Linked DNA regions of Mus musculus. The protein of the gene in region 2 interacts with the protein of the main gene of each other region in a pairwise test. Links are inferred from orthologs where the notes say so. Each region holds a gene or a part of one and is shown on either strand. Other genes may lie near its edges.

Region 1 (4,319 bases), on a different chromosome or scaffold from region 2:
GATCTTGGCTTCAAACTTTGTTCTGCCACCTGATCATCAGTTCTTGGCTGAGGGACAATACAACAAACCCAAATGTGCCAGCATGCTACCTCCAAGGCCACCAGGCACTGTGCTGGAGGCCAATGTGGATAACATCTCACTGTGAGGAGGCCAGAGAGGCCCAGGGGCAGGAAGCCCAAAGGCGCAGTGGCGTAAGGATAGCAGGGTCAACTGAAACTCTTAGGAGCGGAGGGAAAGGACGAGGAGCAATGTCTCAGCTCACTTGCTGTTCTTCCTGAGGCCAGCATCTGGATCCCAGTACCCGCATCGGGTGGCCACAACTGCCTGTTAACTCCAGCTCCAGGGGACTAACACATTCATCTGGCCTCCGAGACATTCACATACATGTGGCCTTCAGTCATACAGACCCATGAATAAAAATAAAAATAAAAATGAATTAAAACAAAACAAAACAAAAAAACCAACAACAAACCCCCAAAAGCCCAGGTCCGGCCGAAGTGAGCATCTCTAGGTTGGCACATACAACTGAATGTCACTCAAGCAGAAACCACACAAGGTTTCAAACCGTTAAAGAAGCCCATCTAAACTGGAGGAGATCTCATACCCATTGGAAAGTTCCTAGCAAAGAAATTCCAGTTGGTGCCAGAGTGGAAAAGTGGGAAGAGTGTGTACTGCTGCTGGGGATGTAAACTGTCACAGCCACAGGCTTGGGGGACGGCTCAGTGGCTCTCCATACGCTTGCACAGACCCAGCCACCAGTAACTCACAGCCCCCAGTAACTCCAGTTCCAAGGGTATCTGCATACGTGTAGTGCACAGACATAGAAACACTCATAAAATTAACAAATACATCTTGAGGGAAAAAAAAAAAACGACATAGATACGATGGGAAACAACCTGAAGACTCCGCAAAACATTAAAAATACATTTACCATATACCTACCTTTCCCACTGTGCATCTATCTCCAAAGGGATTGGAAGGGATAGCTATACTCTTGTGTGTGTTTACTAGAGCCAAGAGGCAGAAGCAAACCAAATGCCCAGCACCGAGGAACACATAGTCAACGAGAAGGACTGGTGATCTACAACCAGAAACTAAAAATCCAGACCCATTATGAGCCACTGCCAGGCTTCCTAAATGCAACCTTAGTGAAATACAACCACACTCAGACTAACACAATCTAACATGTATTTACTCTCTGGCCCCTTACTGGTAAAATGCACAAGACACCTTGCGTGTGGATGTGGCTCACAACAATATGGGTTCTGTCCTGATGCAAGTCCTCAAGCCCTCTTGCTCACTGCAGTACAGCCCTTAAGAGAGGTCTGGGGCCCTGAACTCAGGAAGGAGTGAGGTACGGGAGTAAGAGGTAAGGTTACAAGGGGCAGGCAGGGCCTGTCTTGCAGGTCCACAGGCCAGTGTGAGCATTCCAGAGTTATTACAAGGGTACTAAGGGAGTGGCACCACCCAACAGAGTCACTGAGACCTTCTAGAATCTTCCTCCAGGAGAACAGATTAAGGAAAATAAACCCTTAGGTGCTACTTTCTTAGCACCCACTGTTTGCTAGACACAATGTTAATTAAGCACAAAGCATGGCTGTAACTCCGTGCCCATGAGCCACTTCACAGTCACCACCCAAGAACCTCAGGAGTGGGCCCAGCTTCCAGATAAACTCTGAGCCAAGGTAGAAAAACTTTGGCCCAGAGGGCATTCCTATAATCTAGCATCTGGTAAGATTAGATAGGAAGGTAGAGAGTTGTAGGTCAATCTGGACTATACAAGGAGACCTTATCTCAAAAAAAGCAAAATCTTTTGGGTAACCTGGTGTTTGTGGCCATGTCCTATCCCGGGAATTCACATGATGAAAAGGAGACAATAACTTCTGAAACTTTTGGCCCTAGTAAACAAAACAACACGCCCCCACCCCCCCAAAAAACAAACAAACAAACAAACAAACAAACAACAACAACAAAAAAAACATGCCCTGGGTCAGAAGTTCTTAAAATCCAGAGTGTGTAGTCTTTCCTACTGCCTGACTTTGGTGTCTTTCACCGCATAACACACAGGGTAGTCAGTCCCATCCCGCAGGCCACAATGCCAAACCCCTCCTTCCTTGGCGGGACAGGGTTGGCCAGGTCCCAGTGCTCAGACAACTAACTGGCCTAGCCACTCTGAGCAGCTCTGAGGGCTGACGTGGGCAGGACGCACAGCAAATGAAGCACTTCAGCTTACAAAAACCGCAGGGGTCTTGACTCTAGCACTGATCGCCCCTCCTCTGCAGCCTCTGACCGGGTAGAATCTGATACCGGTTTTGTTCACATTCTAAGGACTGCGCCCTCTCCGGGGAGTGCACACATTCCACTGAGACTTGGAACTGCCGGTTTCCCTCCTGCTAAGGCCTGGGGACACCTCTTTATTGTACTTCAGTTACTCCCTAGGAGAATCCAGGCCCGGTCCCACACCAATAACTTCCTATATGAAGAGTCGCGAACTCAAACTCTTCAGGGTCCCAAATCCGAGGCTATTGAGAACCGTCCCTCCCAACCCAAGACGTCTCTGGCCAAGACGAGGTTCCCGGAACATCACGGGATAAGGAGAGGGTAGAGACTCTGCGGAGAACCCTTCTCCAACTCGCGCACAGTCCTGGGACTCAGTGGCCCTAGAGTCCCAGCTGTCAACCCCTTCCCAAGTCAGAAAACAGCGAGCAGCCTCTGCTCCAGTGGAGCCCCAGATGCGGGTTCCTGAGGCCACCTCTACCCACAGCTGCAGACCTGGCAGGGTGGAGGGCGGAAGGGGAGCGCTCTCCCCCTCCGTAGCCTGCTTACCTCCCGTAGGAACCTCCGCGTCCGCACAGCCAGTCCCGAACTGGCGCCCGCCAATCCCTGCGCCGCCCACGCCTCCGGGTTCCAATTCTCTGGTCACGCCCCTTCGAGGGACTCTGGACCAATCGAAGCCCTGGCACGCAGGCGGGGGCGGAGCCGGCCCGAGTTCTCCAGAAATGTGCGCGGGCGTAATTAAACCGCTGGACCGTAAACGGGTCAGCAGCGGTTGTGCGTGGGGACGATGGGCTGATTCCTGGTTGGAGTCCGGTTCCCAGCTTTGCTGGTCGCCACACTCAAGACTGAGTCGGCGCTGGTCAGAGGAACAGCCTGTGAGGGAAGCAGGCATGACGGAGTGGTGGGCCCTCAGGTGCCCCTGTTACTATGATGTTACTCTTTTCAGCCACAGAGACACACGTTTTCTTAACGATCAACAGAACTTTATAATTTTTTTCCTAGAGGAAAATGTCAAAAGTACACGGGAGGAAATTAGTTTAGTGGACCCCAGGCATTCATCGTGTAGATCCAAGACGAACAGGTACCCCGCCCTGGCTACTGGTGTCACTTAGAACTCAATTCCAAGGCTGCTTTCCCATCTCACCTGCCCCCACGCAATTCTCATCCACTGTCTTCTGGTTCCTTAAAAACCACTCCCACCCTTCGCCCTCTCCCTCCTTTGTCATTTCAGTGTCACCTCCTCAGAGAGGTCTCCTTGGCCACAAAGCAGCAGTTCTCAACTCCATCCATTTTTTATTGTCTTGTTACCCCTGGCTGACCAGAAATTCTATATGTAGACTAGGCTATCCCTGAACTCATAGAAGCCTTGCCTCTGTCTCTAGACTGCTGGGCTAATATTAGTCTATAGTGTCAGTTTGTGTTGCTAAACTGGTTACATTGAAGAGGGACTAGCTCTGGTTAGCCTGGTACCCGCTGGGCCAAGACCAAACTGGGTTTGGAAGGGGATGGTGTGGCCCTCTGGTGATGGTGTTAGGGGCAGACCCTTCCCTAAACTGTCCCTTAATCCCTACCATCCCCCACATCCTTACCCCACCAGCGCTTATTGATATTTCTTTTAGGTTTGAAGTTTGTTTAATCATTTACAAAATGCACTGCTGTGAATATTTCAGATGGGGAGAAGACACATAAAAATAGAGACTTTTAGCCCCCCCTCCAGTAAACTCACAATCTCAAGTTCTAGAGAAGTACTCCACCAGTGAGATATTATATCTCCAGCCCTGACTTTAGCTCATCTTTAATCATAAGATTTAGGGATCTGGGTGTCATATGCCTGTGATCTCAGCACGCAGGAGGCTGAGGCAGGAGGATGGAGTTTGAGGGCAGCCTGAGCTACATAATGAGACCTTGTCTCAGTCAGTCAATCAAGGATTTGGCAATATTGGTTTATTTATGCAGAGGTCTGGTCGTTTGCTTATATTGTAATGCTAAATTACAATATAATAACAAGGCCAGGTTGCTTCCAGGGAGCCTTGCACATACTC
Region 2 (3,369 bases):
TTGCTACATTGTCCTCCAGCCACATACACCTTCTTTGTGGTTTGTGTACTTGTTCATGTTTGTATATATATATATATATATATGCACACCAGGGATCCATTTCCAGTATCACTGTGTCTTCCTGTATGACTACTCTCTCCACCAATTCCCTTAAAACAAACAAACAAACAAGAAACCAAACCACCAAGTATGAGTGTTTGCCTGCATGTATGCCTGTGCACCATGCACGTGCCTAAGGCATGTGGAGGCCAGAAGAGGGGATTGCATCTCCTTGAACCAGTCACTGGTAGCTGTGGGCTGCCATGTAGGTGCTGAAAATTGAGCAAGTACTTTTAACCAGTGAGCTATTTCTCTAGCCTCACTATCTTAATGTCTTTTGAGGCATGGCTTCTCACTAAACTTGAAGCTCATGATGCCGTGAGGATCCCTGGCCAATGAACCTCACTGGGGTAACAGGTACACTTGGTTCTTCTATGGGTGCTAGAGCTACAAACTCAGAGCCTCATGCTATTGTGACAGGCACTTTAGCAATTGAGGCATCTCCCCAGTCCTACAGTATCTTTAACATGTTATTTATTTGTTGTTGCTTTGTAGGCAAGCAGATCAAACCTTGCCAGGTAGGTATTCTAATACTAAAATATAACCAAGCCTTACATAACTTTTGTTAGATATGATTTTGTTCCTGTTTTTTTAACCTCTCCTATTTAATAACCTCCTTAAAAATCATACATATATAAAAAGAATCTGCAATTAAGATTTTATTTCATTCATATCACATGTAACAAGTGCAAGTTAATGTACAAATACTGACCACAACAAAGAAGGGGGAGTAACAATAAAAAGCTTACTTAGCAGATTCATGCAGAGAAATGAAGAAAGAGGACATTGCAGATGTCACGGACCCTGTTTACCTTGAATCATGACAAATGCAAAGGACTCCAACTATGGCACATCAAAGGAAGTCCTACATCAGAAAAACATTAAAGAGTTCATGGAAAGAGGTGGGACTTTCCCCCAGAGTTCTGACAGCATGCTACTAAACTTTATATTTTTAAATCAGTCCTTGAGTAAATGTCTAATTGTGGAATTAGAAAGTACATCCAAAGACTGACAAAATATTTTACCTTCCCCTTAGGAGGACACGCTTACAAACAAAACACTGCCAGCTATGAGTTTATAAATAACCATGGGCTCTCATTTAAAGTGCATTCAGATGCTTAGAAATCAAGGCAAAATATTTCATAGGAAAAGGACTCTTTCATCATCGGAGGTTCCCGAGTAATGGCTTTGGGAACCACTTTCTCAATCTGTGAGCGTGGCAAATTCTGCGGCTGCTGGTTACGAGGGTCACAGCAGGCCTGTGCAGTCAGGTGCTCACTCTGCTTCTCAGCTCACTCTGAGGAAATCCTCTGGGCCTAGAGGACCTGTGGCACGGATGGGAGCTCTTGGAGGATTAGTGTTTCCAGCAACAAGTGAGTCCTCTTCGGTACAGCACCAGCAACTTCCACGTCATTTACAGAGATGCACACAAGAACTTCACAGATCAAATTCCTCGTCAACATCCCTTGGGATGTGTAACTGCACAATCCTCTAATGCCAACTGCTGGAAACACATGGGCACCACGATGTACAAAATTGATTCTGTCCCGATACGCTACTTCCTTCAAATCTAAGTAGGTTTATATAGTTTATTCTTCAACTCCACTCTTTTATATACATTTTTTTTTGGTAATAATAATAGTAAAGATGCTGGTGAAAAGTACTTTAACAATTCATGATGCGTGCAAAAGTAAAAATGTGGATTCAAAGAAAGGTCGTATTTACAATTCTTCAGTCCCAACAGAGGATGACACACAGTTAGGCAATATCGTGACTCACAACATTACACTTGGCTAATGCTGCAATTCCAAATATGGCACAGGGCGAACATGACTGACACCAGTCCGAGGCTTAACCCAGCCAGGTTCAAAGGATTTGGTTTAGGTTGATATTCAGTTATATAAAAAGGTTTCTGAAAGTATTGAAAAAAAGAAGGTGTACATGAAAGAGACTCCGACAATGTTTACAAAATGCCAAAAGTTCTGATTGTGCCCCATCCATAAATAAAGAAGCCTCCTTCCCCCACCCTCCTCCCACATCCAAAAAAGGTAAGTTTACAAAGGTAAGTTTAGCTCAGTGAGCGGAACCAAAAGGTGACTGTTGTTGGACAGTTGCTGGTAAGAAGCTCAGGCATTTCCTAAGAATGCATATGCAGCTGGACGGACAGATGGAGCCCTGGAGTGCTGCTCCGGTGAATTCTGAAGACTTCTCACTTGGGAGCTAGAGCTGTCCTTGTGCTTTGAAGGAACATAATGAGCTATAAAGCAGAAGCCAATGGTGCCAGAATTCACCGTCTTCACAGTTCATTGTGGGAATTCTTCTCCGCAGCTTTGAACATCAGAATAGAGTTGAAAATTTTGAGAGCTGGGCCCAGCTTAATGCTCATGATTTTAACAATGTCTGTTTGGGTCATGAGTAAAAATGCTTCTCCATCAATTTGCTGAAATAAAGGGGGGAAAAAACAGAGGAGTGTGGATTAACCAGAGGGAGTATTGTGAGACTATTCCAAGCTTTATGCTGTATTATCAGCTGAATTCTATACAGCAATACTAACACAGCATACACAGGAGCTCTTAAACACAACATCCCCGATCCATGGGTCTTTCTTACCTAAAACCACACATCCAGCATTGTAAAGCTCAGTTATCTGAAACTGCAGTCCACAGAAGAAGGGAAAGTGGTCACATTTTCTTATAACTTAAAATTGTGTGTGTGTGTGTGTGTGTGTGTGTGTGTGTGTGTGTGAGAGAGAGAGAGAGAGAGAGAGAGAGAGAGAGAGAGAGAGGCCAGAGTTCAGTTACACATGTCAACCTCTCTAGCTTTCCACCTTATTCTCTGAGACAGTGTATCTTACTGAACCTGGAGCTTGCCGTTCCAGCTCAACTCTCTAGCCAGAAAGTTACAGCGATCCCACACCTATTTCTCAGTGCTGGTTTTACAGTTATGCACTGCCACGCTTGAATTTCTATGGGAGTTGTGGGGACCCAAAGGTCATAATATTTACTCTGCAAACACTTCATGAACCAAACCACCTTCCTATCCCCAAACCTTCTTGTGTTCTCCTCAATTAGGTACTGAGTCATTCATATATATATATATATATATATATATATATATATATATATATATAGTTTGTTTTGTTTGTTTGATTTAAGTTACAGAAGATTACAATGTTTTTGGACACAAAATAATTTGGGCAAAGAACTAGTTACACATGAATACCTAACAAATTTAGCACTCCACCATGAAGGAAAGCAGTGAGAAAGAAAG

Evidence for each region.
Region 1: the proteins of L3mbtl3 (region 2) and Plekhf1 interact in binary tests that used the Homo sapiens proteins (3 or more experiments, as listed by UniProt). The two-hybrid records come from large-scale screens. The link is inferred for Mus musculus from reciprocal best matches to the Homo sapiens genes L3MBTL3 and PLEKHF1.

What each region holds. Positions count from the first base shown.
Region 1 is NC_000073.6:38,225,115-38,229,433, forward strand, and holds the start of Plekhf1 (pleckstrin homology domain-containing family F member 1), read right to left. Parts: upstream 2,881-4,319; 5' UTR 2,827-2,880; intron 1-2,826. UniProt on the Homo sapiens protein: May induce apoptosis through the lysosomal-mitochondrial pathway. Translocates to the lysosome initiating the permeabilization of lysosomal membrane (LMP) and resulting in the release of CTSD and CTSL to the cytoplasm.
Region 2 is NC_000076.6:26,273,725-26,277,093, forward strand, and holds the end of L3mbtl3 (lethal(3)malignant brain tumor-like protein 3), read right to left. Parts: intron 2,540-3,369; coding exon 2,396-2,539; 3' UTR 744-2,395; downstream 1-743. UniProt on the Homo sapiens protein: Is a negative regulator of Notch target genes expression, required for RBPJ-mediated transcriptional repression. It recruits KDM1A to Notch-responsive elements and promotes KDM1A-mediated H3K4me demethylation.